Linked DNA regions of Ovis aries. The protein of the gene in region 3 interacts with the protein of the main gene of each other region in a pairwise test. Links are inferred from orthologs where the notes say so. Each region holds a gene or a part of one and is shown on either strand. Other genes may lie near its edges. The genes, in order: BCAM, CUL3, KLHL2, TXNDC12, TMA16 and SDCBP.

Region 1 (5,194 bases), on a different chromosome or scaffold from region 3:
CAGACACACGAGTCCAGCTCCCAAGCCTCTCCTCCCGGGAGACCCAAGGTTGGAACTCCTGGACCCCTACTCCTGGACTGGGAAGCCCAAGCCCCCAGCTTCTCCCGACCTTGAGCTGTAGGAGCCCAGGACCCCCTCCTCCCCTCAGAATCCTGGAAGCAAGATGCGGCCCAAGGTACCTCCTGGGCAAAGTCATCCATCACAGACAGGGTTCCTTTGTTGGGGGAGACCTCCGGGGCCTCTGGTTTGGCTGCGGGAGGGACTTACAGTCAGGAGCTGGTTCCCAGGGTTCTCACCTCCCTGCCCTTTCCCAGGATGTGTGTGTGTTGTGGGAGGGGGGCGGCGGTTGGAGGGGAGGCACAGACACTCACCAAACACACTGAGCCTGGCGGTGGCCTCGGCAATGCCTGCTGCCCCCGTCTTCACCACGCACACGTAATCGCGCTCGTCACCCACCTGGGCCTCAGGCAGCACCAGGCGCCCCCTGGAGTCCAGCTGGTATGGGGGGCTGCGGCCCTGGGAGCTGAGATCTTTGTCCCAGAGCTTGGACCCATGCAGCTCGGCCCAGGCCAGGCGGTGGCGAGCCCAGGAGCGGTCGACCTGCGGGGGCAGGCGGGGAGCATCTCAGCGAGAGGCTGCCCGGCCGCGGGCCCTCCTCCGTGTCCCCTTTCCCTCTGCCGCTCCGTGGGTCTCCTCTCACGCTCTCTCTCTGGTCCCTCCGTCCTCTCTCCAGCTCTCCCACCCCCGCTCCCTGTCTGTGGTCACCTTTCCCCCTCTCTGGTTCCCTCCTTCCACCTCTGTCTTCCTTTCCTGCCCTGGGTCTCCTGTTTCTCTTTCTCTTTAGTCCCATCCCCGGGCTCCTGCCTTCTGGGTGTCTGCCTCTGAATGTCCTCTTCCAAGAGCCAAGGGACCTCTTTCATTCTAGCCTCAGCTGTGCCCAACACCAGGGTACCCTGGAGAGGGGCTTCCTCTCGCTGGGCCTCCATTTCCCCACCTGTAAAATGGAAAGGCAGCTTGGTGGGGCTCCTAGGGGCTTTCGGGCTCGGATGAGGGGATGAACATTTGCAGCCCCACTGCGCCCTGACTCTCAGGCCCCGCTCTGTCATGTCCTCGTTCCCAGCCCACAGCACTCACCAGAAACCATTCCAGCATGAAATAGTCATGGGTCCCCAAGGGGCTGCAGTCCAGAGTGACAGACTCCCCCCTCATCACCTCCACCAGGGGGGGCACAGACAGGCGGACCTCAGCCTTGGAACCTGCAGGAGGGTGACTGAGCTCTCTCCCACTGCCACCAGGAGGCAGAGCTCTCTAGGTCCCCAGTCCTCCTCCCCCAGCCCCTCCGCCCCCAGACCCAGTGGTCCAGGCCCCCAGCCCCTCCTCCCCCAGACCCAGGGGTCCAGGCCCCCAGCCCCTGCTCCCTCAGATTCAGCTCCTCTCTCCCTTCATCTCTCATTTCTGCATCTCTAAGCTCCAGATCCCATCAGCACGTCTCTCCATCTCTCCGTTCACTTGCAGAACTGAAGACTCCTCCCCTGGGCCACACAGGGCCCCGGTGGCCTCCATACCATCCGCTTGGACTCAAATCCTGTGTGTCCTTGCTTGTCCCCCAGACCAAATGCCCCTTGAGGGCAGGGCCTTGGCGGGCTCATTCCTTAGCCTCCAGCACTTCACCTGGGGCCTGGCACAACGAGATGGATAATCATCTCCATCTCAGTCACCGCCTCTGCGTGTGTGTGCGTGTGTGTGTGTGCGCGCGTGTGCGCCCCTCACCCTGCGTCTCGTCTCTTAGTTTCACGGTTCTCTGCGTTCCTCTCAGTCTCCGTGTTGCCCAGCCCTGCCCCCCGGGTCTCTCCATCCGGAGCAGTGGGGGAGGGGGTGGGGGGCTGGGGCTGGGCCAGAGCTGAGGCAGGATGGGTGTGTGGGCGCGGTGAAGGGGGACAGGGCTGGGCAGGTTTCAGGAATGTGGGAGGGACAGGCTGGCTCAGGCCTGCCCGAGCCCCCTACCCTCGCCTCGGCCCCTCTAACTCTTTGAGAGAGCAGCAGCACGTGCCTCACAGCAGGACAGGGTGGAGGGCTCGGATCCTGGGTCCTGAGGGAGAAGGGAGCAGAGGGCCAGGACTCCAGTCCCAGGATCCGGGCAGGTAGAGGTGAAAAGCGAGCTCTTTCAGCCTCTGGGCTGGCAATCCGGCCTGAGCTCTCAGTTCTTAGAGTCTCCCTCCCTTCCCCGCCCAGCCTGGCCCCGCTTTGCCCCTGGGGACCCACTGTTCGCCATGCTTGTGCCAGGGGCCTGGATTCCCAGGCACCCACCTCTGGCCCGGGCCTGCCCCATGGGAGGGAGTGTGGGGCCAGGCTGGTGCCCAGGGCTGGGTCCAAGCGGTGGAGACAGCAAGGATGGTCAGAGGGATCTCTCTCTCCCCCAGTTCTCTCTTCCCGCAGCCCCTGAGGGCCTCTACCTCTCCTCCAACCCCCACGCAGGTGCGTGGCTTTATCTGGGCCCCCGGGAAGGGGGGCTCTGTCACTTGGAAACACTTGGTTCCGCTGTCACTGCCCAGGGGCTGGGCTCCAGCCCTCTCTGATGGAGCGGGAGGCGAGAGGGGCGGGTCCTTTAGAGTCTGGGCTCTGAATCTGAATAGGGGGAACCCGCAATCGCATGTGACTTGCTGGTTTCTAGCCAGAGGGTCCCTGACCCTCTCAAAACTTGACAACTTTTGAGCGGGGAGTTCCGCTTTGGTCTCTTCTGTCCCCGGGGAAAAGGCACTCTGGCCACTGGAGGCCAGGACCTCTGGGTCCGGGGGAGTAGGGGCCAGGCGGGGGTGGGAGCGGGGGCAGATCCCAGCGTCTGAGCGGGCAGGGAGCGGAGCGCCCGCACTCCTGGGTCCAACGGCTTCTCAGATCGCTTCTAATACACAGCTGAGGATCCCCAGCCCTCTGCCAGGCTGTCGCTGGGTCTCTCCCTGGGAGGGGCACTCCATATCCCTCCTTTCCTGGGGTCCCTGGGGTCGGCGAAAGCCCCTCCCCATCTCCCCTCCCCTCCCCGCGCCTCCCAGGCGCGCCCTGCTCTCAGCCCGAGCCATACCTGGGTGCGCCTCCAGCAGGAGCGCGAGCACCAGCAACAGCGGGGCCCCACGGGCCCCAGCCCGCGCGTCTGGGGGCTCCATGTTCAAGGCGGCGGCGGCAGCGGGCGGCGAGCGGCGGGCGGCAGCGGCAGGGACTGAGCCCGGGCTGGGACTCCTCGGCCGCCGGGACTGGAGCGAGGAGGCCCCGCCCCAGGCAGCCCCGCCCCACCCCGCCCTCCCGGTCTCCCCCTCGTCCCCCTCCAAAGCCGGGCGCCAGGCCAGGACCTCCCACTGCCCGGAGCCGACCTCCCAGCGCTCAGCCGGGAGCCAGGCTCCCCGCCCCCCCGGCCCCAGGGTGTCAGGCTCCAACTGACCAGCGCCCCTGGCGGGTGACCCGACCAACCAGTTCGGCCGGTGTCCAGAGCGGGGGTCCTCCCTGGACCCCCGCGGATCCTCTCCGCCTCATTCTCACTGGCGGGACCCGTTCCCTCCCCGGCCAGTGACGTGGGCTCCCCTCGTCGTTTTCGACCTGCTGGCCCGGGTCCAACCAGTGGACCTGCACCGGCCTCTCCCAGTCCAACCAGCAATCCCCAGCCTCCCCAGTGGCCAGTGCGCTAGGCTGCTTTCCTGTCTGACCAGCGGCCTGGAACCCACCCGGTTCTAATGTCTAATAGTTCTAATGTCTAACGATCTTCAACACCCAGCTCTGCCCAGGCCTCTGAGATGCTGGCAGGGGTGGGGGCTGTGGGGTGCTCTTCTCTTAGCTTTCCTCCCTAGGGCCCTCCCTCTCTTCCCCCCTTCCAGGGAATCCTAGGAATGCCACCCCCCTTCCTCCCTTTCTCTTCCCTTTACTCCCTTCCAGCTTTGGGGGGAGGGGAAGAGAAACGGGGTTGACAGGTGAGTGGGGGCGGGGAGGAGGCCCAGGCACCTGAGGGAAAAAAAGGAGGAGTCCTGCCATGGGTCACAAGGAAGGGTCACAGGTCAGACTTGGGATCACAGATCAGAGTGTCCAGGGCTCCTTACAAGGCAGGCCTGGCTGGGACAAAATTCCTAGATGCTGGCTGGGGGGTGGGGTGAGATTTCACTGGTTACCCGGGAGAAGCTAGCCCTCAACACTGGCTAGTAAGGGGCAGCTGGTCATGCTGGGAGACTTTCCCCAGGCCTCTGATCAGATGTGGGGGGTGGATGGGCAGAAGAGGGACCACTGGTCAGGCACCAGGGACATCTTGGATTATAGGTCAGCACGGGGGTTATTGGTTAGACTTGTCAAGGCTACTTTGTCCATACAGGAGAGCGATGGTTATAGATGGGAGAGGTGACCTTTTAGCGTTAGCTCCCCTTCTCCAGAAAGCCCTCCGTGCTCTCCTCGGCTGAGTCAAGTGCCCACCTCTGGGCTCCCCCACCTAGCCCTGCCCATTCTGGGTCAGCTCTGTCTGGGGATGAGTTTGTCTCCTCCACTGGACAGAGAGCCAGGAAGGGAAGGGCCAGGGCTGTTGTGATCACTACTGCGTCCCCAGTACTGTCCAGCCCAGGCAAGACATGGAGCAAGAACTCAGGGAAGGTATGCAAGGCTCAAATGCAGGAGTACACAGGCTCACATGCAAACCCCACCCAGACTGGATCATGGCCCAACACGGCCCACTGCAAACTCGAGAGTGGACAAAAGAGCTCCCTGGCACAAGCTTCCACACAGGGACCCCAGGCACCCACTCCCCAGCTCCCCTGCCCCTGGCTCATACACCTTCTGCTCGGGCTGCTAGGTATACCCTTTCCTCAACAGCCCCCTTCCACCTTCCTTAATCCAACCAGCCGGGGGGTTCTGGTTCCGGTTCATAAACGTGGGGGTGTGTGGAGTGTGTGCGAAGGAGGAAAGTCATAAATGCCAGGGCCATTTCCTTGAGGGCTTGCACCAACCAGTACTGAAGTATCTGTCTTTGTCCCCTACAATTTACTCCCATAAAACAGCCGGAAGGATCCCATTAAAATGTGAGTCAGCCCGTCACCCTTCTGCTCAGATCTTCTCCGTCTGAATAAAGTTGGAGTCCTTTCCGTGGTGCGCAATGTCCTGTATCTGGTCCTCATCGCCTCCCTGGCCTCATCTTCCTCTTCTCTGCCCCACCTCGCTAGCTCTTTTCCTG
Region 2 (4,511 bases), on a different chromosome or scaffold from region 3:
ATATATACGGAATTTAGAAAGATGGTAATGATGACCCTGTATGCGAGACAGCAAAAGAGACACAGATGTATAGAACGGACTTTTGGACTCTGAGGGAGAGGGAGAGGGTGGGATGATTTGGGAGAATGACATTGAAACATGTATACTATCATGTAAGAAACGAAGTGCCAGTCTATGTTTGATACAGGATGCTTGGGGATGGTGCATGGGGATGATTGAGAGAGATGGTATGGGGTGGGAGGTGGGAGGGGGATTCAGGATTGGGAGCCTGTATATACCCATGGTGGATTCATGTCAATGTACGGCAAAACCAATATAATACTGTAAAGTAAAATAAAGTAAAAATAAAAAAATAAATAAATAAAAAGAGAAAGAACCTCAAGAACTATTGCTCTAATGGTTTGGACCTTTTATTTCTAGCTATTGTAATAATATTTTTAAGCCATTCAGCTTATTTGCAAAGACACTACACGACAGAGACAAGTACACAAAGACAAGGTACTGGAAAAGTCTCTCTGGATATAATTTGTTGATATAAATGAACAGAAATATGATAGCAAGGTGGTTTTCCTGTCCTTATCCGCATGAAAAAAGTAAAACACAGGAAATAATGCACAAATACTTAAAATTTCCTTCAGCATAATAAATATGACTTGTCTAAATAAAGTATACTACAAGTATTCAGAATTTTAAGAAAGTACTTGTTATATGACTTCTGAAAGTAAACAGAAGAGTCATTCTATTTCAACAGGTCAAGAACCTTTAAGATAGTAACAGAAATATCTGAGGATTGGTGACATTTTAAAAGGGCTCCAAGATTTCAGAAAGTTCAAGATTTGTTTTGATTACTCTGTCACTTTTCATCAAATCTTTCTAATGAAAATAAAGGCTTAGGAGACTTAGAGCTTAAGATTCTTAGTGTATAAACAATTACAAAATAGTGAGGAATTGCATGCAAATAATGGCTCTACAAAGTGGAAGCTGCAACAAGATCAGCAGATATATAACTCTGAGCATCTCGACAAGTACTCTACTTAAAGGGTTAACAAATTATGAAACGAATATTCCACCATAAAGTGCAGGATATATCTGAACAGTCAAAATGGAAGAACAGAAAATGCACAAATTTCATAGAAAGAAACAGAATCTGATAAAATGATTGCGTTGAACAATCCCAATGCAAAAGAATCAGTTCAGTTCAGTCCAGTCCAGTCGCTCCGTAGTGTCAGACTCTTTGCGACCCCATGGACTGCAGCACGCCAGCACTCCCTGTCCATCACCAACTGCTGGAGTCCACCCAAACCCATGTCCATTGAGTCGATGATGCCATCCAACCATCTCATCCTGTCATCCCCTTCTCCTCCTGCCCTCAATCTTTCCCAGCATCAGGATCTTTTCAAATGAGTCAGCTCTTTGCATCAGATGGCCAAAGTATTGGAGTTTCAGCTTCAACATCAGTCCTTCCAATGAATACCCAGGACTGATCTCCACAGAATGGTCAACAGTAAACAGAGATGGTAATTTTTCAATCAAAAGGCCTTCAACTATCACAGAAAAGGTACTTGGACACTTATTAAAAAAAACCTTAAGGTGAATGCAAAGTTGAAAAAGTTTAACAAAAAAGAAAAGAGAAAATCCTAAAGTTCATTATACCCCACTGAAATCTTTTCAAAAACTTCACTGGACTCAAAAGTCTTACTGTAAGTTGCAGCTCACTGCCTTCTGGCAATCACAATACAAAAGCACACTTACAACACACCAGCATCAGCGCTGCTCTACTCAGGTCACCCTTTACCAACCCTGAGGATGTCAGGCCCATTTATCCCGATCTTTCACATGAATAAGAATAACGAGGTACAAAAAGCTCAGGTAACAATTATAAGACAGTACCATCCTAGGGTAAAGAAAAAGTATTAAAACTCAGTAAGCTTGCCTAGGGAGCTTCCCCGGAGGCTCAGCAGTAAAGAATCTGCCTGCCAATGCAGGAGATGCAGGTTCAATTGCTGGGTCAGGAAGATCCCCCGGAGAAGGAAATAGCAACCCACCCCAGTATTCTTGCCTGAGAAAATCCCATGGACAGAGGAGCCTGGCTGGCTAGAGTCCACAGGGTCACAAAGAGTTAGACACGACTGAGCGACTAAGCAACAAGAAGTTTGCCTAAGCCTGGTATTCTTTCCATAATCTATAACGGTTATAACAGCCAAGTAACTCTATTAAATATTCAGTGCATTCCTTCAAGTAGGGAGGATAAACTAAGTTGTTTAAGAATGAGAATATATTTTAAGATTAGAAAAGTTAGGAAAACAGGTTATATGGGGTAAATAATTTTTAAAGCCCTCACAGACAATACATATGTTGTCTCTAATGACATTTAAAGAAACGACACCAGCAATTCAGTTATCTAAATGGATGAAAATGCCTATTACAAAACACTGTATATAAAAAACATTTACATAAGTAGAAATTAATTTAAGAGTCTCACCCCAGTGGCCTGTAGATGTTGCCTGAACTCATCCATAGTTGTGTTTGAGATGCTCATATCCCTAAACATTCCTTCCAGTTTTGATGTGAATTGACATCCACATTCAGTCTGTAGAAGAAAAACACAAATATACACAAATGATGGATTTTGTTATGAGGAAACATACAAACTCTTCCATGTTACTGCCATCCTTTCTAAATCTTTCTAATAGTTGTTTTATGCCTGTAGGCACCAACTTTAGTGGGATTAATAACCTACGAATTTTATTTTAAAATGCAAATTTCCAGACTCTCTCTGGGATTTCCGTAAAGCCAACTGAAGGTGGGGCCCAGAACTCTCTGGTTTTAACAAGAAACACCCATATTAGGTGATATGGGTGCAGGTGGCCTATGGATCACACTCTGTGAGTCTGTCATACTCCATTTACTGCTTTCCTTGTACTGATCCTCCCTCAGATTGCCATAAACATATCTGCTTCACCAAGAGAAATTTCAGTACACTGTGAACGTCCCAGAACTTGAACAAATCTCAATACAACGTTCTCTTAAAAAAAAAAAAAGAAAGAGAGAAACCCCAAGTCCCTCAAAATCTAGCTTTGTTCATTTACAAAAACAAATATTTTAAATCAATTATTTCCCAATTATTTGTTTGCTGGTGCTCAATTATGTGATAAACATTAGCTAAGGGCACTCCGTTCCATCTTAAATACACCTTACCTTTAACTTAGAAATCATATTTTTTTCAGAGTCATCAGAAACACTTTTATTTGTAAGAAGTCTCCTTGCCAAGTGTTGCTTATAATAACGTTCAAATACATCTTTTTCTTGCATAAACCTAAAAAGGACCATTGCCTTATCCAATATTGTTTCTACTTCTTGTTCTGTTAGCTGCAAATCAATCAGAAGACAATTTAACAATTACACAGCTTTAATTCTACAAAAACAGCATCACAGTTCAGTTTTAAAACAACATTAATAACAAACATAAATATCTGGTTGACCAAGGTCAGAAAGGAGATATAATGTGAGAAAATATGGCCCACTTCCTACAGCTCACTCTTACATTCTGAACTAGTGCAACGTGAATCAGAAGTTGGAATGGAGCTCCACTCCCCAGTGGGCTAACTCTGAAAGGGAGAGGCTGATACATGGCTGGATTAAAGGATGACTGAGAATAGCTGAAATGAAATTTTAATCACATAAGAGAATTTTACAGTGCCCTTGCATTGTAAAACATATTGGACAAAATTTATATGAGCTCATTCAAAATTGAAATTGTTCAAAGAGAAGCATAACAATATGTTATATTTCCCAAAGCAGAAAGGTCTCTTGCCCCTAATCTTTTAAACAAGAGCAAGATGATACTGTGGCAGGTTGTATTCAGTTTATATTAAAAATTACGGAAGACTACTTAGATGTGTCTTTTCTATTCGGTATCCTTGGTAATCTTCCTCTTGTTTCTCTGCTATTACTACCTACTTGCTGCTTTGCCCTTATGTCTCACAAATCCCAAGATGAAGTCAGCAAGACCAATTTACACATAATCCCAATCTGTTTATTTTGATTTTCTGTGCTATAGTACGCTTCCAAGATCCCACATATATTATAAACACTTGAAACTGAGCTTCCATATATGCTATCAAACTATTTTCTGATACTTATTCTAGACTAGGCCTTCAAATTCTTGACACTCAAGTACTACTGGATAACCTCCAGAACCAGGTAAGAGTAAGCAATATTCTATGTGCAATGCATAGCTGTCTTCTAGTTTCTTATTATCTCTTATAACATACATAACCCTTACAATCTAAAGTTTATGGCTGTGTGGCTGTTTCTGATGCCAATGACACATTACGTGAAATGTCAAAGTACTTTTGACCACTTCAAGCACTTAAAACAATCCTTTCAAATATCACAGTGCACATTTAAGCATAGCAAAAGTGAAAAGTCAAAGCGTCAGTCACTTAGTCCTGTCCAACTCTTTGTGACACCATGGACTGCAGCCTGCCAGGTTCCTTTGTCCATGGAAT
Region 3 (4,954 bases):
CCTTTTCTAAATCCAGCTTGAACAACTGGAAGTTCATGGTTCACGTACTATAGAAACCTGGCTTAGAGAATTTTGAGCATTACTTTACTAGCGTGTGAGACAAGTGCAATTGTGCAGTAGTTGAGCATTCTTTGACATTGCCTTTCTTTGAGGACTGGAATGAAAACTGACTTTTTCCAGTCCTGTGGCCACTGCTGCGTTTTCCAAATTTGCTGGCATATTGAATGCAGCACTTTTACATCATCTGCTTTTAGGATCTGAGAAATTTCAGTCAGTGAAGTCCAAAAATATGAGAACCTCTGCTCTAATTCAACTAATTTTCTGGCTTCCCAAATCCCTCATAATACAGTCAACAAGATGTTAGTCTGCCTATGCTGAACATCTCTAATGTTCAAGAGCTCTCAGTGATGTGGAATCAACTGAAAAAAGGTACAGTTGTATATCTGAGGCATGTTTACTTAGCTTCATTAAGAACAAGCAAAAAACCAAAGCCTGTAGGGAAAAAGCCAACTTGTGAAAGAGGGTCAGTAGAGAAAGGAAGGCCAAGAAAACTTTTCAGTTCAAAGGGATGCATTCTGTGCTATACTCATAGTCTTCAGTAATTATAAAAATCTTCACAAAAATAACTATAAAGGCTAGAAATGTATAAAACACTCATGAGGTCAGGGGTGATCAGCTTACACTTCCTTTCACACATCTCAGTACTGCTTAAGACGACTCATTTGCTAACCTATATAAATTTCAGTTGAACACTTTTCAGGTTCAATCAGAGGCAAATATCCCATGGTTTTAATATTGCCCAGACCCAAAAATATAACAGAATCTAAAAGATACATATACTCAAGGATGCAGAAAACAACAAATAGAGATATAAAGTCCATGACAATCAACATGAGAATCAAAAAGGATGAGAAGAGCTTGAAGGCAAGGAGTAGAAAGAGGAGAAGGGAAAAAAACCCTAATCTCAACAAGCCCATCTAAAGGAACCAGAGACCTGGACACAGTCGCCTCCAACCTTCCCAGACGTAACAGACTGAGAAGGAGCAAGGTGGGATTTGAAAATGATGCAAAACCGGTTGCTAAAAAAACTCACAAGCAAAAGTATAATACTCAGTACCAGGTAGAGACAGGCATTTCAAATATTTGGAGAAACAAATATTTGCACAAATAAAAAGACATTCATACAAAGAGGATGTGAGTCCCCGCTTCCAACCACATCATTCAAAGCACGTAGGTCCCCATCAACCAACTTTCTTTGCATTTAAGCTCAGGCTAAAAATCTAACCTTATGAAAAGCTGAGCCCTCTCAATAACCGACACTGGCCTCCTAGCCCAGTTCTAGCACAGCGAGGCCCAGCAAAGTTCCTTCCCTAAGAACTGTCATTTCTCAAATCCAGCAGCCATGAGTCAGTGTCGAAGGAAAAAACAAAGTTATTGGGAGCGGAGGCAAAGAGGCCAAGGAGTGGGAAGAAAAACTATTTTTGATGTACAGAAAGGTAAAAAACACTCCAGTTCTGGAATTATAGTATTCCTAGATAGACCAAATGAAAATAAAACCTATTTCTATTTATCATTAAATGAACAGAAATAAAAGTATACCAACTTAAGCCACTAATGACTGAAAGGAGTTTTTTGGTTTTAACTTTGTTTCACCCCTGGTTTTCCATTACATCTCAGCCTCTCATTGTTGCAGCTCTACTGATGAAGCCTTAATAGCAAAGAACTATGCTGGACACCCAAAATTCTGCTTAGTTGATCTGTATTAGATTCAGTTTATCAGTATTTGCATGCACACATTTATTTCATTTTTCATTACTTATATTTAAATGACGTGTAATGTTCTTTTCCTCCCTTCAGAGCCTGCTTTCCCAAAGCTTTTTCTCATCTGCATTCTAAGGTACCCTTTTTCTTTCCTTTAGTTCACTTTGCTGCCAAAGCAAAACAGGGTCTGCAGGGAACTGATATAAACAGGGCAGGTTTATGGCAAATAATACCCTACCTAAGATATCCTTTATACCATGTGTTGTCTACAGTCAGGTAGCAATTCCTTTTATGCCCCTGAGCCTGAGCACAACCCATGTGCTGACGCTATGCTCACATTGTTGATGCTAACAACCATCATCATGTTTCCTAGAGGTTCAGGAGTGTTCCCAAACCTGCTGAACAACATGAACATATCACAAAGTCCTCAAAGCCACAACCATCATCAAGCAACTGAGCTCTTGTTCCTACCAGTCCAGGAATTCAAGAGTCTCAGGTACTCCTTAATCCCCATGACCTGGTTCTACTCAAGCTAAAAATTCTGTAAGGCATTTTTAGAAACTGTAGTTTCAGAATTCTATTAGCTCTCCTAAAAGGACTCAACATCAAACAAACTTTCAGCCCAAAACAAATTTAGCTGGCATTCTGCCAAATAGCTATAAAAGGTTGCTGTTGTACAACTGCCCTGAAGTGAAGCTGGCCAAATCTAAATGAAAAGTGATAAAGCTCCAAGAATAAGCGGTCATAAAAAGATACATGGTTCCTCAGAAGAAATTTGCTGGCGGTTTGAAACCTCAGATTCAAAGGGCTCTTGTCCCTTTATAAAGATTAAACTAAAGAAAGTAAATCAAACTTGAAATGTTCAAAATTCCTGCGGATTAATAGTCCACTTTTAACAAAATGCTAAAGAAAAATCTTGTATTGAATAATGCAGTTTCTTCAATGTCTCCCAAGTAACTGTTCAGCTTATTTTGGAAGCAATTTTGTTGCAGGTCTTGAATGTACTTGGGTACCAAGGAAAAGACACCTGTGCCTGGCAGGTCGTACGCTACTAATTCGCCCAAGGTGCCAGAGAAACAGAAGATGCTGTGATTTCTGGACACGATTTTCTGCTGTGCCAGGTAAAAGAGGTCACATGACCTGTACAGCCACGGTTCAGCTTTTTCCGAGCAATGTGGCAAGCTCCTCGGACAGAATTTTGCTAGGAATTCGGAGAAACAGGCAAGCTGAGAGGAATTCCTCTCGGCACCGGTGTCTGTACTTTGCAGCTTCCTTTTCCGACGGCCTCGCGCGCATCCTGTGTCTCCATCCCGCCGATGCTCGGCCCTCCCTGGGCTCCAGCTAGCCAGCAGAGGACCCTCCCTACAGCCCCGCGCGGCGACGCCCCGCCCGCGGGTCAGCTGGGTTCCGCCTGCCGCCCGGCCCGGCCGCTACGGCCCCGCCCGCTGCCCGTCCGCTCACTCACGCGGGAGGCCGCGGCGGCGTCTCCATGGCGGCTCCTCTCGGGCTTCAGCTCTACGGCGCCCGCCGCCGCCAGCACCATTCCAGCTGCGGACGCCTGCCCCGCCCGCCCGTCGCGCCGCGTCCCATCCGCCCGGGCGCCAGCCCACCGCCGCCCCGCACCCGCGCCTGCACCGGCACCCGCTCCAGAAGCGGCCCCGCTTGCCGGCCCAGCTCTGCAGCCGCACTTCACGGGCGCTCTCCGCCTGCCGGCGATGCTGGGGGCGGAGCGGCAGGAGGGCACTTCCGGGTGTGACGCGCCCTCAAGACCCCGCCCCGCCTCTTCCTGCCGCTGCCGAGTGGGCTCCCAGGGTGGGTTCTCCTGCCCGAACCCTTGAGCGGGAGACGTGAGGGCGGGGTCCGGCCGGAAAGCGCGTGGTCCCGGCGTTTGGCGTTCCCTGACTGCTCCACTCCACAGGCGCCTTTGTTTTGTCCTCTCGCAGTTTACCGCCAGGTAGGCGGGAGGAGTGGGCGTAGCCGATCCTTCCTTTACAGATAGTGAAACTGAGGCAAGAAGAAATGGCTCGCCTGTCCAGAGTCCCAAGCAGGAACTGGAGCCTCACTTCTCAGGCTGTGATCCCCTCGTTGCACTTACTGGGAGAGATCTACAGCACTGTAATGGGATGCAGAGAAAAATTAGGTATCCTTGCCCGCGTACCTGCCTGCCATGAAAATACCGAATAGTCAGGTGAGACCGGAAGCTAAATGGTGGTCAAGGATTGAAGTCGCTCAGTCGTGTCCGACTCTTTGTGATCCCATGGACTGTAGTCTACCAAGCTTCTGTGTCCATGGGATTTTCCAGGCAAGAGTACTGGCGTGGGTTGCCATTTCCTTCTCCAGGGGATCATTCCTGACCCAGGGATCGAACCCAGGTCTCCTGCATTGCAGGCAGACGCTTTACCTTCTGAGCCACTAGGGAAAGGCCTCTCAAAATATGTCATATAGAAGAGATGGAAGAAAGCGAATCTTGAGTAAATCAGAGTGCTCAGGGCAGAGGGGAGAGCAGTGCAAAGACTCCTGGACCTTGAAGAAATGAAAGAGTACAGTGCAGCTGATGGTCCCCCAAGTATGCCGCTGGGCAGTGGTAGGATCTGGGAACTTGTTAGAAAGGCAAATTCTCGAGGCCTATTTCAGATCTGAATCAGAAGTTCTGAGAATGAAGCCCAGCAGCCTGTGCTGTGACAAGCCTTCCAGAGGATACTAAGGTTTAAGGACCTCTCTGGCATCTGAGCAGTCAGGACAGGAGACAGTGGAAGGAGATGGTGTCCCGCGTGTAGTCCCCCTGGTAGGCCTTTGAAAAGATTTCAGCTTTTATTGAAAAGAAAAACAAATGCTGTGAGCAAGGTGATCTGATCACTAAAAGGATGACTTTGCTGGGATTTGTTTTAAAATCCTCCACCAAAAAAGGGAGGGTAGGGAATGGAAGAAAGAAGATGGCAAAAATGTTAATTTTTGTTACTGAGTGATAAGTGCACAGGGTTAGTCATTTATGTGTAAGCTGATTCTTCTGTTGCTATATGAGCCACAGATCCAAGAAAGCAAACAAAAAATTGCCTGCTGGGATGATCAAAGTGATAGAAGTTTATAGATTCTGTTTTTTCGGAAAATATAAAGCAGATCAGAATTACTGATAGATTAAACATGAGTATAAGAGACCAGAGTGAAAGATGATCTCAAGTTTTGTTCTGGGCTC
Region 4 (4,511 bases), on a different chromosome or scaffold from region 3:
TCAGCCCCGATGGGGGTTATATTCCACGAATCCTGTTCCTGGGTAAGGTGAAAGGTCTTAATCTGGGGATCCATACAGAGGGAGAGAGAAGTGCATCAAGGCACTGACTCCACCTAGTGAAATTATATTGTTATGGCTAAAAACAAAAGCCATTTTCAAAAGAGAGTGATGGATTCTAAATGCTAGAGCCTCAGGTCTGAAAGAAAACTTTTCCCATTAACTAGCTGCTTTTGTGATAAACAATAAAACAACCCCCCTGTTCCCCCTCCAATACCCAAACTGCTTTTGTGAGCAATGGGAGAGTACTGATCATTTATTCATTTGTTTAGCAATCATCTTTGCATCAGCCACAAGTTAAACACTGTCAGCCACAAGTTAGGCACTACAGGAACCGAGAGAAGCCATAGTTCCCACCCTTGCCCTGTAGCACAGCTGAGGCAATGGGATACTGCAACCAGACAAATATCTTTTCAGAAACAATTTCCTGGGAGATATTTAATGACCACCTTGTCTTTGATCAGCATTCTGCTAGGTTCTATGGGGAATACAAATAAAAATATAGGATCCCACCATCATCAAGCAGAAAAGGAACATGCCAGAAAGATGGAACAGTATATAGGCATGGTTGAGGGTGGGGGTGGGTTGTGTTCAGGGAATTCCAAGGGATTCATTTTGATTGCAATGTAGAACACAGTGGGTAGGGTGGTGAGATAATGGGCTGCAAAGATGGGTAGGTCTCATTTTCCAGAAGGCCTAGTATATCATATAATGCTTGAAGTACCTGTCTGTTGTAGTTATTGCAACCCCTGTGCCATTTTGTCTACAATAGATCCCAGTGGCAAAGTGCGTCCTGAAATCATCAATGAGAATGGAAACCCCAGCTATAAGTATTTCTACATCAGTGCTGAGCAAGGTATGGCTATGTTGGGAGAGAAGAGGGAGGGTTGCTGCTAGGTTTAACTAGAATGAACCACATGCGAAGTTTGATGGGAAACTAATTCAGCATGTTCACTAAGCATCTTCTGCATGTAGCTTTTGGCTAGATGCTATGTAGGATATAGAAGAAAGAGAAGAGCAAGCCCCTCCTCTAGCTTCTTACAGTCCAGTAGGAAGCTAACTGACCCATAGGAAACTGGAGAACTGAGGCTTCCAGAAACAGTTGCTTGCCCTTGGACTCACAGTTAATAAGTCACAGAGCCAGGATTTCCGTCTACAACTTAGTTTTTTTCCACTGCACTAACACTATTCTTGTAAGAATTCAAAGGTAGGGGAATGCTGTTAGATGATCCATTCAGAAAGGTTTCATAGATAGTAAACTAACTTGATCTAGACAGGTAAGAATTTGTCTCTTTGGTCAGATATGAAAAGGACATTTCAAGCTAAGGAAGCAAGGGAAAAGGGTGTCAGGTGTAGCCCAACATGGAGAGTGCATGAGTCATGCTAGAGGGGATGATAACTGAATTGAGTCTTGAAGAATGAGACCTAACCAGCAGAGGGATGTGCAAAGCATTATTGGAGGCAGAGGGAACAGCGTCAGCACAAACATGTGAGGGAAGATTGAAGTCACAAGTCAGTCGTGGTTTTTTGTTCTCTAATCCTGAGTGCAACCATTCTAGAGGCAGAAGTTGGAATTCATGCCACATACTGTCACTGTTTTCCTTCTGAATTCTCCCTGCCATCTGTAAAAGAGGGTTATTTCTAAGTTGCCATGTGTCTCTTCCTTTGTCATGCTGCCAGTTTGTTGATCATTTTATGTTTTGAGTCCTCAGCACTCTTATTTCTCAGAATAGGGAGAGGAAAGATCTGGAGAGGTTATCCTCTCCTTCCCATGGGTAAGGAGAATGTTATCTTCCCTACCCAAAAGCAGATCCCTGGAGGCTGGTATTACCAGGAAGTTTTCCACATGGAGAAGGGCAACTGAACTTTAGGTCCCCAACTCTTGACCCTTGAAATTCACCTTCCTTTCAGAATTTCATGCAGTTACCCCTGCCATCTTGACGTGGGCATCATCCTTTAATATATTAGTCCAGATATGGACACAGAACCCTTACCTGAATTCCCCATGGCTCAGCTGACATGAAGCTGAAATATTCAAACCTGACTTTACTAAATGCTTGGGCAAAACTAAAGGGGTGTAACAAACTTTACTACCTGCTATGCTTTCTGAGATCCACAGATTGTGGCTCAACCCTAACACCTGGCCTGCCATTGTACAGGGAGCCTGTACCCAGCTTCCCTCTTTGATTCCCAAGATAGACAAGAAGACTCATCTCCTGTCTACCCAGGGCTTGCCTTCCAGGTTTCTCTTTTGCCTGAGAACTTGACTTCTTCCATACATAATTGGTACTGGACATAACCACCTCTTTCCGTGAAGAACCATCCTCCCTCTAAGCACACATACTTGCTCACATATCAGTGTAACCTCCACAGAAAATGAAATAAATGCAGCATTCATCCCAAACACGTGATGGAGATGATAGGAAGATGCTTTCTATTCCCTTAGTGTTGTGTATATTTCCAGCTTATGACAGGGATTCAACACTAATCCTGGAGGGTAAGCCAAAGTAACTGCTAAATAACATTTTTGTAGGACCTCGTAGTTTACAAAGGACATTTATTATTCATTCTCTCATTTAATTTTTATAATCTGTTTGAAGTTTGTAACATCACCTTATTTATAGATGAGAAAATGAATTCAAGAGACTTTCCTGGGATAAAATCCAGAATTAGATCTTAAATCCAGATCCTATGCTCCTCTTACATTTCTCCTAAAACAGAAAATTATGTGTTGGTTGTCAAATATGAAAGACTTGCTTCATGTTTTTCCCCTCAATGTTTATTTCACAGTTGTCCAGGGGATGAAGGAAGCTCAGGAAAGGCTGACGGGTGATGCCTTCAGAGAGAAACATCTGGAAGATGAGTTGTAGCATGAATGCATCCCTTCTTTCCTCAAAGATATTGTTCTGGAAGAAAGCAGCAGGGAAGGGAATACTGAGGAATCAGAACAATTGAATGGATTGGAAAACCTTGCTCCTTCCCACATGGGAAAGGCCCCCTCACTGTTGGAAGAATTCTGCTGCCAGAAACTAGTCTCCATGTTTGTGATCCAGCAGACTGTGGCAGACTTCCTTGTCCTGTCCCCTCTCACCTAACTATCTCTTTGTCATTGAAGGTAAAGAATGACACCTTTTGACATAAAACATGAGCCATTTGGAGATTTACTCCTCACACTGCAGTATTTGAATCTTTCCATTTCCTCCTGCTTAACTCACCTTGGTGGTGAAAAGAGACCAGAAGCATCTTCTCTATAATGTTAAACATTGCGGAAAGAGCTTATTATTTAAGACAACAAATTCTAAATGTAAAGCCGTAATTCTGCCCCACCAAGGAGCTCACCCCATCTCTTCTTTTTCTCCTGGGAATAATCTTGGGCTTCTTCCGGAATGCCTGCAACTTCCCTCCTCTTCTCTGGCTTGGCTTCCCTGTCTGCGCGCATGCGTGTGCGGGAATGGCTGTGTGCTCTGGACTGGCCCCAGCTGGAAGCATGCTTTCTTTTCCCCCATTAACTGTGGAAGAAACCTTCTAGCCCTAGATGGAGCCATTTTTGTCAAGTCGTCAACTGTATTTTTGTACTGGGATTAATAACAAAAAAAGAAAAAATATTAATTGTTCCATTAAACTTTAATAAAACTTTAAAAGGAAATGTGTTGTGATGGCCTTTTTCTTACTGGGGAGTGGAGGGAGAGCACTTCAGGAAGAAAACTAACCTTGAGAGCCTCATCCAAGAGCTCTATCTAGGGCTGTTCCCACACCTGCATCTCCCACATTCTAAAGGATGTCAGAGCTTGTCTCTTCTACTTTTCAAATACCCAAATTCCCTCTATCCTCACTGTCACTGTTTTGTATGGGACAGGCCTTTTCTACTTCCTGTTTACTGTTACAGCCTGTGACTTGACTACTTGCCTCTGATATTCTCTCCTGTCATCCATCCTCCTTAACTTCCCCCAGAGTAATCTTTCTAAAACACAGATGAGACCACGTCACTCCCCTGCTTAAAGCCTTTCCTGCCTCCTTCAAGAAAATAATATTAACATTAGAAAATATTGGGGCCTCCCTGCATTGGAGTCTGCATTTGCTGCTGTGCTTGCCTGGACCACTCTTCCCTGTGCTATCTACAGGCTTTGCTCCATCATTTCTCATTAAAGTTTCACTGACTTTATTAATAGTCACAGCCTACCCTCCCCCATACTCTCTTTTTCTTTACCCTGTGTATTATTTCAACAGTATAAAAAGAGGGATCTTATAAGGTATCACCTCCAGTGGAACACTGAGAGTGACAGGGGCACTGTTCATAACTATGCTGAAGTTACAAGTTCATTCTCTACCTCTTTCTTTGAGAATGTAAGCTGCAGGAAGGTTAATACTTCATCAGTATTATTCGGAGTATATGACAAGATTCTTGAAATGTCTGACACAAAGGAGATATTTAGTAAATAAATATTTATTAAATG
Region 5 (5,205 bases), on a different chromosome or scaffold from region 3:
GGATCCTGTGGTCACCCACTCTTGGTTACAATTTAGTTTTAAATGGCTATATTTGTTGATTAAATACATGAACCTGTGCAAACATATCTAACAAACACACCAAACTTCACTATGTCTGTAGCTCCTTGCCACTGTCTGGTTTTCTCCTTTAATTCAGGTGACAAGAGTCTCTCCTTGACCAAATTCTACTTAGGTTCTTCTGAACTCATTTTTCAACTAGGCCTGGAATTTTGGCTTTCCTATTCTTACCTGATTGTTCAGTTTTAGTAGGGAAGTCAGTTTAGACAGAATCCCCAATCCTCCATATCTGGTCAACCTCCGCATCTATTAATATCAGGTGAAGGCTGATTACACCAGCCTGCCTATTTCCAGGTTGGGCTTCCCAGATGGCGCTAGTGGTAAAGAACTCAACTGCCAGTGCAGGTTAGACGGAAGAGACCTAGGTTCCTTCCCTGGGTCGGCATGATCCTCTGGAGGAGGCCGCGGGTAACCGACTCCAGTATTCTTGCCTGGAGAATCCCAAGGACAAAGGAGCATAGTGGACTGCAATACATAGGGTCACACAGAGTCGGACACAACTGAAGCAACTTAGCACCTACGCCATCAGGTTGGTGTAGCCAGAACACACCGTTATAACCTTAATGTTTCCTCATAGTACTTTCCATCCACCAACCCCGACTCTGCTCCTTGGCTATAAATTCCCACTTGTCCACGTATATTAAGAGTAGATCTCTCCCCCATTGTGGTGATCCTTACACAGAGGAGAAATCTCTTGAGTAAAGTTTGTCTTAACTTCCCCTGGGCTTCCCTGGTGGCTCAGCTGGCAAAGAATCCGCCTGCAATGCGGGAGACCTGGATATGATCCCTGAGTTAGGAAGATCCCCTGGAGAAGGGAAAGGCTACCCACTCCAGTATTCTGGCCTGGAGAATTCCATGGACTGTATAGCCCACGGAGTCGCAAAGAGTCGGACACGACTGAGTAACTTTCATTTCACTTCACTTCACTTCCGTTAGTAAGTGTCTTGAAAATTTTGCCTTGAACATAGGTCTCTGTTCAACTCTTTCAAAAGTGGATTTCTGAGACCACCACGCCTAAAACAACTTCTCTGCCTTAATTTCAACTTTATTTTTTAGAATACTAACACTACTGGAAACAATATGAATTGATAGGGTTTTGTTTTGTGGATTTTTTTTTTTCCCTCCACATTCTGCCTTGAAATATGAGCGGAGCAAGGGCATGGAAATAGTTTGTCCGTTCCCAAAGCCTTGCACACAATTTGCTGAATGAATATAATGTCCATGGAATCCTACCAAGTACAGATGGAACGAAGACACATCCTGAGAACACAGAAAAAGCAGGTGAGAGGAAGTCTCGAGTGTGCAGACGGGACTCTCACTGGTGAGGACAGAGCCTCGGGGGAGCCTCGCTCCGGCAGCCGGGAGGCGCAGACGGCAGGCCTGCGCTGGGCGGAAGCCTAGAGCCGCCTCGTCGGAAGAGGCTGTGTGGTCTTGGATCTGAGCGCAGGGCAGACGCCTGAGAGCCTACGTTTCCCTCGGCACCGGAGAGCGCCCGACTGACGCGTCAGTCTCCTGCGGCTCACAAAGACCGGGGTCTTGTTTCCCGGGACGTTTCAGGAAAGAGCACTCGCCCTCCCGCTTCCGGTCGAGTCGCGCGGCTTCTTCCGCCCCTCGTGTGTTTGGCGGGACTCGCCGCGCGACGGGCCGTCAGGTGCTGGCGTGTGCAGTCTGAGTTCCGGAGACTCGCACCGTGCGAACGTCGCCATGGTGGGTTCCCCCAGGTTCCTAGAAGGCCCGGTCAGTGCCGGGTCGGGGAGGCGGGCCGGCGTCGGGCGGCTGGGAGCGGGTAGGGAGTGAGAACGGGGGGTGGGGCGGGCGAGTGCTCCGCGCGGTCGGGTCTCTGGTCGGGGCCCTGCGTGGCTCCGCCCCCGGCCCGCGGGATTGCGTGAGGCTCCGCCCGGCCGCTCCTCAGCGGGTGGGGCGGGGGACGCAGGGGACGCGGCTGAACTGAGAGCAGCTGCCGCGGCGCGATCGCCTGGCCTCGGGTCCGTTCCCCGCCTTCCCGCCAGTGACCACTCCCACCCCAGGCCCCGCCTCCGCGCCTTAAGTATAAAGGTCAACTGTATAAGGAATTCCCGTTTACTACTTACTATAAGAAATCCCCGTTCCCCTCCTTGAATCTGTGTCCCCATGAGCCACTTAGAGGAAACCAGTATCCAAATTCTGCTTGCTTGTCTTTATACTTACCGCTTGTTTGTATTCCAGAGCTGCTCTTTCTTGCTTTTTTCGCTTCTGTTCTTGAGAATATTTCTTGAATACGAACATGCTGCTGCTGCTAAGTCGCTTCAGTCGTGTCCGACTCTATGACCCATCAGGCTCCGCTGTCCCTGGGATTCTCCAGACAAGAACACTGGAGTGGGTTGCCATTTCCTTCTCCAGTGCGTGAAAGTGAAGTCGCTCAGTCGTGTCCGACTCTTCGCTGTCCCATGGACTGCAGCCCACCAGGCTCCTCCGTCCGTGGTATTTTCCAGGCAAGAGTACTGGAGTGGGGTGCCATTGCCTTCTCTGAACATGGTTTTTAAATATTCATTTTTCAGTTTCTAACGAAAACAACGACATAGAAAGTTTATAGTGTGGCAGAAAGTTATCTGGCCTCAGTGTCGTTACTCCCTTTTAATTTTTTTTCTCCTTTTCATTGTATTTTCATTTTTCACGTCAGTTTTTGCTTCAGGCTATACGTTTGTGTAAATTCAGTCTTTTTTACGTATCAGTATGTGCGATTGCCAGCTCTTCATAATTTTCTAGCCTAACTACTGTTAGTAGTTGGATTGTGTGTTCGTGATTGGGGGTGTTCATTAACATTTGACTGTAGTTGTCCTTGACTGTCAGAACTTCACTTTTGTCATGCTGTACAGTAGGAGTATGTTGCCTTATGAGTCAAGGAATATAAATCTGTTCTCACTGGCACGTTTCCTGGCCTGTCGTTTTTCTGGTGCATCAGTAGTGTCTCTGTTGCATCCTGTCTTGAATTTAAACTCAGCTTGGAGCTGGAGGTTTTTCCATCTGTACATTTGTATCAGTTACTCTATAAAATTCTTTCCTACAGTTCAGAATGTGGGCAGTGGAGTCCTGGAAGATGTTTGGCACCTGTCTTTGCTAAATTATGGTCTTGATGAAGTTACTTAACCCCTCTAAAACTCAGTTATCCTGTTAAGTTGGAGTAATCATAGTGTCTACCTCGTAGAATTATGAAAATTAAGTGTAAACAGCTTAGCCCAGTGTCTAGTGCTTAGTGAATGTTAGTTATTGCAGTTACCTTTAGTAATAGTAGAGGTACCTGATGGTCATGTGTATATATTGTTTGGAAAAGTGTCTACTCATGTCCTTTGCCCAGTTTTTAATTAGATTTTTGTTGTTGTTGTTATTGTATGAATTCCTTTTATATTTTGGATACTAACTCCTGATCAGGTAGGTGATTTTGCCAATATTTTCTTCCAACTCCTGTAGGTTCCTTTTTATTTTGTTGATCATTTCTTTTGCTCTGCAGAAGCTTTTTCATTTGATGTAGTCCTACTTGCTTATTTGGGGGTTTGTTGCTTATGCCTTTGGTTTCATACCCAAACAGTCATTGCTGACTGTTAAGAAACTTTTCTTCCTATGTTTTCTACTAAGAGTTTTACAGTTGAGGGCTTACATTTAAATCTTTCATCTATTTTGAGTAAATTTTTGCAAGTGGTGTAAGGGAGGACCAGTTTCATTCTTTTGCATGTGAGTGTGTTAGGCGACTGTATGCTCCTCGGTTTTCGTCTCCTCACAACAAAAATTTGGAGTGACGGACATTAAAGCCCCCTCAGCATGTCACAGCTCTCGGGTCTTGGATAGACCGTGTTATAGCTCTCAAGTCTCGAATGGACCGTGTTATAGCTCTTAGACAAATCAGTGTTACAGCTCAGTGTTACAGCTGTATTTTATCTAGAAGACAGTTGGAAAGTCCATCTTTGAGGCGTGAGGGCATGTTGATCCAAAGACGCAAAGAGAAGAGCACCCCGCCGCGTGTGGGGGAGAGAGAGAGTGCTTTGGCTCCTCTTTTTATGTGTTTGTTTTTTCTCCCTGGGCCTGTCCTATATAAATTGGGCTTGCCAGGAGTGTTTGTTTTAACTGTGGTCCTCACTCCAGTCCTCGGACCTTCTTTTGTTCTACTTTCCCGGGCTTTTCTCTTCCTTATCTTTTAGCCAGTGCCATTCTGGACTCTCTTTCCCTATTCTAACTACCTAACATGAGTATTGCTACTCCAGCTTTCTTTTGCTTTCCATTTGCATGAAATATCTTTTTCCAGCCCCTCACTTTGTCTGTATGTATCCCTAGGTCTAAAGTGGGTTTCTGGTAGACAGCATATATAGGAGTTTTGTTTTTGTATGCGTTTAGCTAGTCTCTGTCTTTTGGTTGGAGCATTTAATATATTTCCATTTAAGTTGATTATTTATATATATGCTTCAGGTGTAAGCTTAGGTTGTTTACTTGAGATTTTTCATTACCATTTCCTTTACTGTTTTGGGTGTTTTTATAGGTCTTTTTTCATATGTTTCTCCTCCACCCATGCCCCCATGTTCCTGTAGTATTTGTTGTAAAGCTGGTTTGGTAGTGCTGAATTCTCTCAGCTATTTTCCTTGTCTGTAAAGCTTTTGATTTCTGTGTTGAATCTGGGTGAGATCTTTGGTGGATAGAGTAATCTTGGTTGTAGGATTTTCCCTTTCATCCCTTTAAATATATCCTACCACTCCCTTTTGGCTTGCAGTTGCTGCTGAAAAATCAATTGATAACCTTATGTGAGGGTTCCCTGTATCTTATTTGTTGCCTTTTTTTTTTTTTTTTTTTTGGTATTTAAATTTTGTTAGTTTGATTACTGTGTGTCTCAGCCTGTTTCTCCTTGGTTTTATCCTGTATGGAACTCTCGGACTCTCTGTGCTTCCTGGACTTGGGTGGCTATTTCCTTTCCCATGTTAGGGAGATGTTTTACTATAATTTCTTCAAAATTTTTTCAAGCCATTTCATTGTTTTTCTCTCTTCTTCTGGGATCTCTATAATTCGAGTGTTGGTGAGTTTGATGTGGTCCAAGGGGTCTTTGATATTATCCTCATTTCTTTTCATTCTTTTTTCTTTATTCTGCTCCATGGTAGTTATTTCCAC
Region 6 (4,511 bases), on a different chromosome or scaffold from region 3:
TACTATTAGCATCAAGTGGGAATAGAGCAGGTTTTTTAATGAGTTCAGCTCTAAGGGTCTCAGGTAATCTAGCTGATTGCAAATAAGCTATCTATCCTGGCCAGTAAGATACAGGTAAGTCCTTCAATCCTTGTATGTTAAGGCTGAATGGTTAAAAAAGACAACGCTATTAATGCTATGAACTAGAGGGAAATATGTGTGGGTTGTTTTTTTTTTTTTTTGGCGGGGGTGGGATGGGGTGGGGAGACTATCACTGATTTAAGACAAGTGAGCTCTTTATGGATTAGTCCTGACAATTCTCCTCACAACAACCCCCAAAAGGAGCTAGCTGCATTCTATTCCAGCTTCTGGGTAAACAAACATTCCATTACAGGAGTTACATCTTTTAATGTTTTAAATATCATTTATCTTTCATGTAGATACTGAAAGGACTGTGCTGGCTAAGCCAGGACAGAATGTAAGATGCTACCGGGCAGACAGCCCCAGCCACCCCTGTTTTTTTCTTTCTCCTCAGCTTCCAGCCCTCACTCCTGAGGACTTCCAAAATGTAAATAATTTAAATACTTCAAATTTCTGAATAATGCCAATGTCATCCACCAAAGTACCAAAGGTTTGAGAAGCTTGAGAATTAAGGAAGTACAGAGCCTCTATGAAATCACATGAGCACAGAATGAAGTCAAAGAATTCTCTACTTACCGTTTAATAATGTGTTCAAAGATAAAAGCAGGCATGATTGTAATAGTCACTATATTTCCAGCTGTAGACAATATGTCTGCAATTTGAGAGTCCTGTGGAAAACAATGAAAATTCTGAGAGGCTCTATTAAATATAAAACTAAGTTATTCTTGGTAAAGAAATATATATGTTCTGAGGTTTTGCTAATGTCTCTAAAATCCTGACTCCTGCTATTTAAATTTTTTCCAGTTTCTTTACCAAGTTTTAATTCATCAGTGGCAACAAAACTAAGTAAACTACGTTGAATATATTAGCCAACATAGCATTCTTTTTCTAGAGATTAAATAATTGCCCCCATATACAATATTACCACATCCCCTCTGCTAACATTAATTCTTAATGAAAACCTTTAGACCTCAAAATAGTTCTATTTAGGAATTTGTAGAGGGCATAAACCATAAAAATGAAGTACTAATTTGGCTATGAACTATTACTCATATTTTTCCTACAACCCCTGGACTGAAAAAAGCAATTGGACAAAAAAGCAACCATTCATTCAGGATCTCATCAACATCTTCACTGCCCAGGTATTCACAGAAGTCTAGTTCAAGGGACTTCAGAGATCTCACCCTGACCCCCAGTTACAGAGGCCACAATTCTAGATGTAACATGAGGGCACAGCCAGCGCGACAAAGAATGTCTCCATTTTGGTCACTAACAGCACCACCCCAACAGACAAATGAAAAAGAGACTTCCAAAACTAAACAACACAATGTAAGTTCTACTCTGACCTTCAGTCCGATGACGTTCTGTCCGTTGACCTCACAGATGTTATGTTCCGTGAGAAGACCGTTTCTAGCTGCAGAACTGTCTTTCACAATGGATGTGATTTTTCCATTTTTAAAAACAAAGCCAACGTGTCCAGTACTGTCCTTATGCATGGTAATTGTCCGTTCAAAGGGCCTGTGAGCATAACAGTTTCAATTAAAATTGTTAATTCCAAGGTAAACATGTCAATGGATTTCCATTATGGTGTACTGGATACTTTGTTACCATAAATTATTTCAAAACTATTTGCCTTGGTATGTACATCTTGTGTAAAAGTTTAAAAATTCTCTCCATTATGGCTGGACTAATCAAGATTTCCTTCTTTTAAGAATCAAAGAATTAACACAATGCTTCATGCAGTTTATCAATGTGCTTTTTCCTTTACATTAACATTACGTTTGAACAAAAATCAGTGTTAAAAATGAATTAACTTTTCAGCAGATGAATGGATAAGAAAGCTGTGGTACATATACACAATGGAGTATTACTCAGCCGTAAAAAAGAATTCATTTGAATCAGTTCTGATGAGATGGATGAAACTGGAGCCGATTATACAGAGTGAAGTAAGCCAGAAAGAAAAACACCAATACAGTATACTAACACATATATATGGAATTTAGGAAGATGGCAATGACGACCCTGTATGCAAGACAGGGAAAGAGACACAGATGTGTATAACGGACCTTTGGACTCAGAGGGAGAGGGTGGGATGATTTGGGAGAATGACATTCTAACATGTATACTATCATGTAAGAATTGAATTGCCAGTCTATGTCTGACGCAGGATGCAGCATCCTTGGGGCTGGTGCATGGGGATGACCCAGAGAGATGTTATGGGGAGGGAGGTGGGAGGGGGGTTCATGTTTGGGAACGCATGTAAGAATTAAAGATATTAAAATTTAAAAAATAAAAAAATTTTAAAAAAATAAATAAAAGAAAAAAAATAAAAATGAATTAACTTTTTAGTATTTCCTGGAGCTTAATTTTTCTTAGGAAATACTTAGAACCTTTGTAATATTTCTCACATCTTGATTTTTAAAACTTTACAAAGGTATTTTTGCTGCTGCAGCAGTTAAGACGGAAGCTCCCGGTCCCTTAGAAAGGGAGGAGCTTCAGAAAGATGGCATCCGCTCTGAGCACTGACAACCTGTTACTGCACATGTTTCATGTGCAAAATAAATACGAATTTTACATTATAAAGTTCACAGCAGTCATGTCTTCCTGGTGATCCAAGTTACTTTTTGAAACTTTGCTCACATAAGAGCAAAAGTGCCATTTGTCTGCAAAATGTTTACTTAATAGCTACCATGTATTATTCAAAGCGAAAACACAAAGGTAGACAAAAGCCAGTTGAACCAATATGAACAAAAATGCCAAAGCTAAAAATGTGTTACAAGGTCTGCCCCTCAACCCCTGCGTGGCCGAGAAGGTGGTGGTGTCCGTAGCACAGGTACCGCAAGTTCCATTATAAACAAGCTAAAGATGATGCTCCCACCAAGGACTCGAGCCTCAGCCACCCAGAAGGCCAGGCTGGGTTTTGGGAACTGGTAGGCCCCCATGTATCCACTCTGAGCAGGAAACCAGGGGCAAAGTCCAGACACTTGTTGCTGTTACCTTTCATTTTTCAGAGAAACTGATTAAGACAGGAAAGGAACTTCTCAAAGGACAAATTTCTGTAAGCTCTGAAATAAGGTGTATGCAAAACCAGAATACTGTTTTTAAAAAGTCAAACTATGTAAGAAAGTGAAAGCAACACAGAACTACAAGAGTATAAATATAAAACTAATCAATAATATTTGATTATTTTCCGCAACAAAATGCTGTATTTCCAGAACCTTAAAACCCTAAGAAAATGGAAAACTAGTCCTTAATGTCCACATGTGGCGTTTAGTTGGCTCACCTGTCCCGAATGGTCATGGTGATCTTCTCTCCAAAAGCCTGTTTGAGCACCTTGTGCGCCCGGTCCGAGCTCCAGCCAGCACAGTTCTCGCCGTTTATCTGAAGTACCTGGTCCCCAAACCGCAGGCCCACCAGGGAGGACGGAGAATTGGCCTGGACAAGCTGAACAAATATACCCTGGAGGATGGAAATCACTAAGTAAGTGCTGGAAAATCAGGAACCAACTGTTTAGGCAGCTACTCTAGTAATTTTTTTTTAAAAAAGAGAAAACTACACAAGTGTGTTTCATTACTCCCAAGAAGGAAACTGAAAATGCTATCAAGGCAACAGGAAGATCTGAGTGGTAATTTCTAGCTCACATCATGACTCACCTGACCAAATTCCATCACCCCCTCCACCTTGGAATAAAAAAACTAAGGAAAATAAAGTCAGATTACTATAAGAAATGTAAGGTTCCATGAGTCTGATAAAATACCAAACAGGTATTACTGCACCTGGTCATTATTTAGGAGGGAAGACAGTAAAGTGTTGGAAGTTTAAGAAAAGTGATAGGTTTAGGTCAGAAGTTTACCTTTTGAGCTGAAGAATTCCTTTACTCGCTTGCTAAATTACGCATAATCACTACTATTAAACAGCCTAAAAAGGTGGGTACACGGAATACAACCCCCGTTCTTAAAAATCTTCGAGGTAAATACAGAGAACTCAAGTACAGGTATCTGAGAACTAAACCCACAGGCTATTTTTACTCATGTAAACTAAATTTCAGATGCTGAACACTATCAACAAGCCAAGTGTAAAAGGCATGTGCCAGTAAGAGATGAAAGCAACCACAGGTCGCACCCCTTCTCCGTCCTGAGCTGCCCCAGATTTGGTGCTGCGTAGCCTGTACTCAGATTTGGTGCTGCGTATCCTGTACTTGAGGACGGCACCCAGCAGAGTGGCTACACCTACAAGCTTCGGCCACTGGACAAACCACTGCAAGGATAACTGCTGCAGGGGTGGAGCTGCGGAGAGTGTGGTCTCTCTCTAGGATGTAGAGAGGGCAGGGAAGTGCGAGCTTCCCAGAGCAGCACACTCAATGAGGGTCTCACACAAGCCACAAGTGTGCA

Evidence for each region.
Region 1: the proteins of KLHL2 (region 3) and BCAM interact in binary tests that used the Homo sapiens proteins (3 or more experiments, as listed by UniProt). The two-hybrid records come from large-scale screens. The link is inferred for Ovis aries from reciprocal best matches to the Homo sapiens genes KLHL2 and BCAM.
Region 2: the proteins of KLHL2 (region 3) and CUL3 interact in binary tests that used the Homo sapiens proteins (3 or more experiments, as listed by UniProt). The two-hybrid records come from large-scale screens. The link is inferred for Ovis aries from reciprocal best matches to the Homo sapiens genes KLHL2 and CUL3.
Region 4: the proteins of KLHL2 (region 3) and TXNDC12 interact in binary tests that used the Homo sapiens proteins (3 or more experiments, as listed by UniProt). The two-hybrid records come from large-scale screens. The link is inferred for Ovis aries from reciprocal best matches to the Homo sapiens genes KLHL2 and TXNDC12.
Region 5: the proteins of KLHL2 (region 3) and TMA16 interact in binary tests that used the Homo sapiens proteins (3 or more experiments, as listed by UniProt). The two-hybrid records come from large-scale screens. The link is inferred for Ovis aries from reciprocal best matches to the Homo sapiens genes KLHL2 and TMA16.
Region 6: the proteins of KLHL2 (region 3) and SDCBP interact in binary tests that used the Homo sapiens proteins (3 or more experiments, as listed by UniProt). The link is inferred for Ovis aries from reciprocal best matches to the Homo sapiens genes KLHL2 and SDCBP.

The regions. Positions count from the first base shown.
Region 1 is NC_056067.1:52,350,677-52,355,870, reverse strand, and holds the start of BCAM (basal cell adhesion molecule), read right to left. Parts: upstream 3,214-5,194; 5' UTR 3,159-3,213; coding exon 3,077-3,158; intron 1,257-3,076; coding exon 1,135-1,256; intron 601-1,134; coding exon 372-600; intron 251-371; coding exon 180-250; intron 1-179. UniProt on the Homo sapiens protein: Transmembrane glycoprotein that functions as both a receptor and an adhesion molecule playing a crucial role in cell adhesion, motility, migration and invasion.
Region 2 is NC_056055.1:226,660,142-226,664,652, forward strand, and holds part of CUL3 (cullin-3), read right to left. Parts: intron 3,370-4,511; coding exon 3,199-3,369; intron 2,591-3,198; coding exon 2,483-2,590; intron 1-2,482. UniProt on the Homo sapiens protein: Core component of multiple cullin-RING-based BCR (BTB-CUL3-RBX1) E3 ubiquitin-protein ligase complexes which mediate the ubiquitination and subsequent proteasomal degradation of target proteins.
Region 3 is NC_056070.1:541,428-546,381, reverse strand, and holds the start of KLHL2 (kelch-like protein 2), read right to left. Parts: upstream 3,473-4,954; 5' UTR 3,253-3,472; coding exon 3,227-3,252; intron 1-3,226. UniProt on the Homo sapiens protein: Substrate-specific adapter of a BCR (BTB-CUL3-RBX1) E3 ubiquitin ligase complex that mediates the ubiquitination of target proteins, such as NPTXR, WNK1, WNK3 and WNK4, leading most often to their proteasomal degradation.
Region 4 is NC_056054.1:26,451,310-26,455,820, reverse strand, and holds the end of TXNDC12 (thioredoxin domain-containing protein 12), read left to right. Parts: coding exon 1-42; intron 43-829; coding exon 830-913; intron 914-2,847; coding exon 2,848-2,927; 3' UTR 2,928-3,703; downstream 3,704-4,511. UniProt on the Homo sapiens protein: Protein-disulfide reductase of the endoplasmic reticulum that promotes disulfide bond formation in client proteins through its thiol-disulfide oxidase activity.
Region 5 is NC_056059.1:2,385,938-2,391,142, reverse strand, and holds the start of TMA16 (translation machinery-associated protein 16), read left to right. Parts: upstream 1-1,674; 5' UTR 1,675-1,782; coding exon of another isoform or gene 1,783-1,815; 5' UTR 1,816-2,381; coding exon 2,382-2,549; intron 2,550-5,205. UniProt on the Homo sapiens protein: Involved in the biogenesis of the 60S ribosomal subunit in the nucleus.
Region 6 is NC_056062.1:37,746,417-37,750,927, reverse strand, and holds part of SDCBP (syntenin-1), read right to left. Parts: intron 3,580-4,511; coding exon 3,404-3,579; intron 1,639-3,403; coding exon 1,317-1,638; 3' UTR 789-1,316; coding exon of another isoform or gene 697-788; 3' UTR 1-696. UniProt on the Homo sapiens protein: Multifunctional adapter protein involved in diverse array of functions including trafficking of transmembrane proteins, neuro and immunomodulation, exosome biogenesis, and tumorigenesis.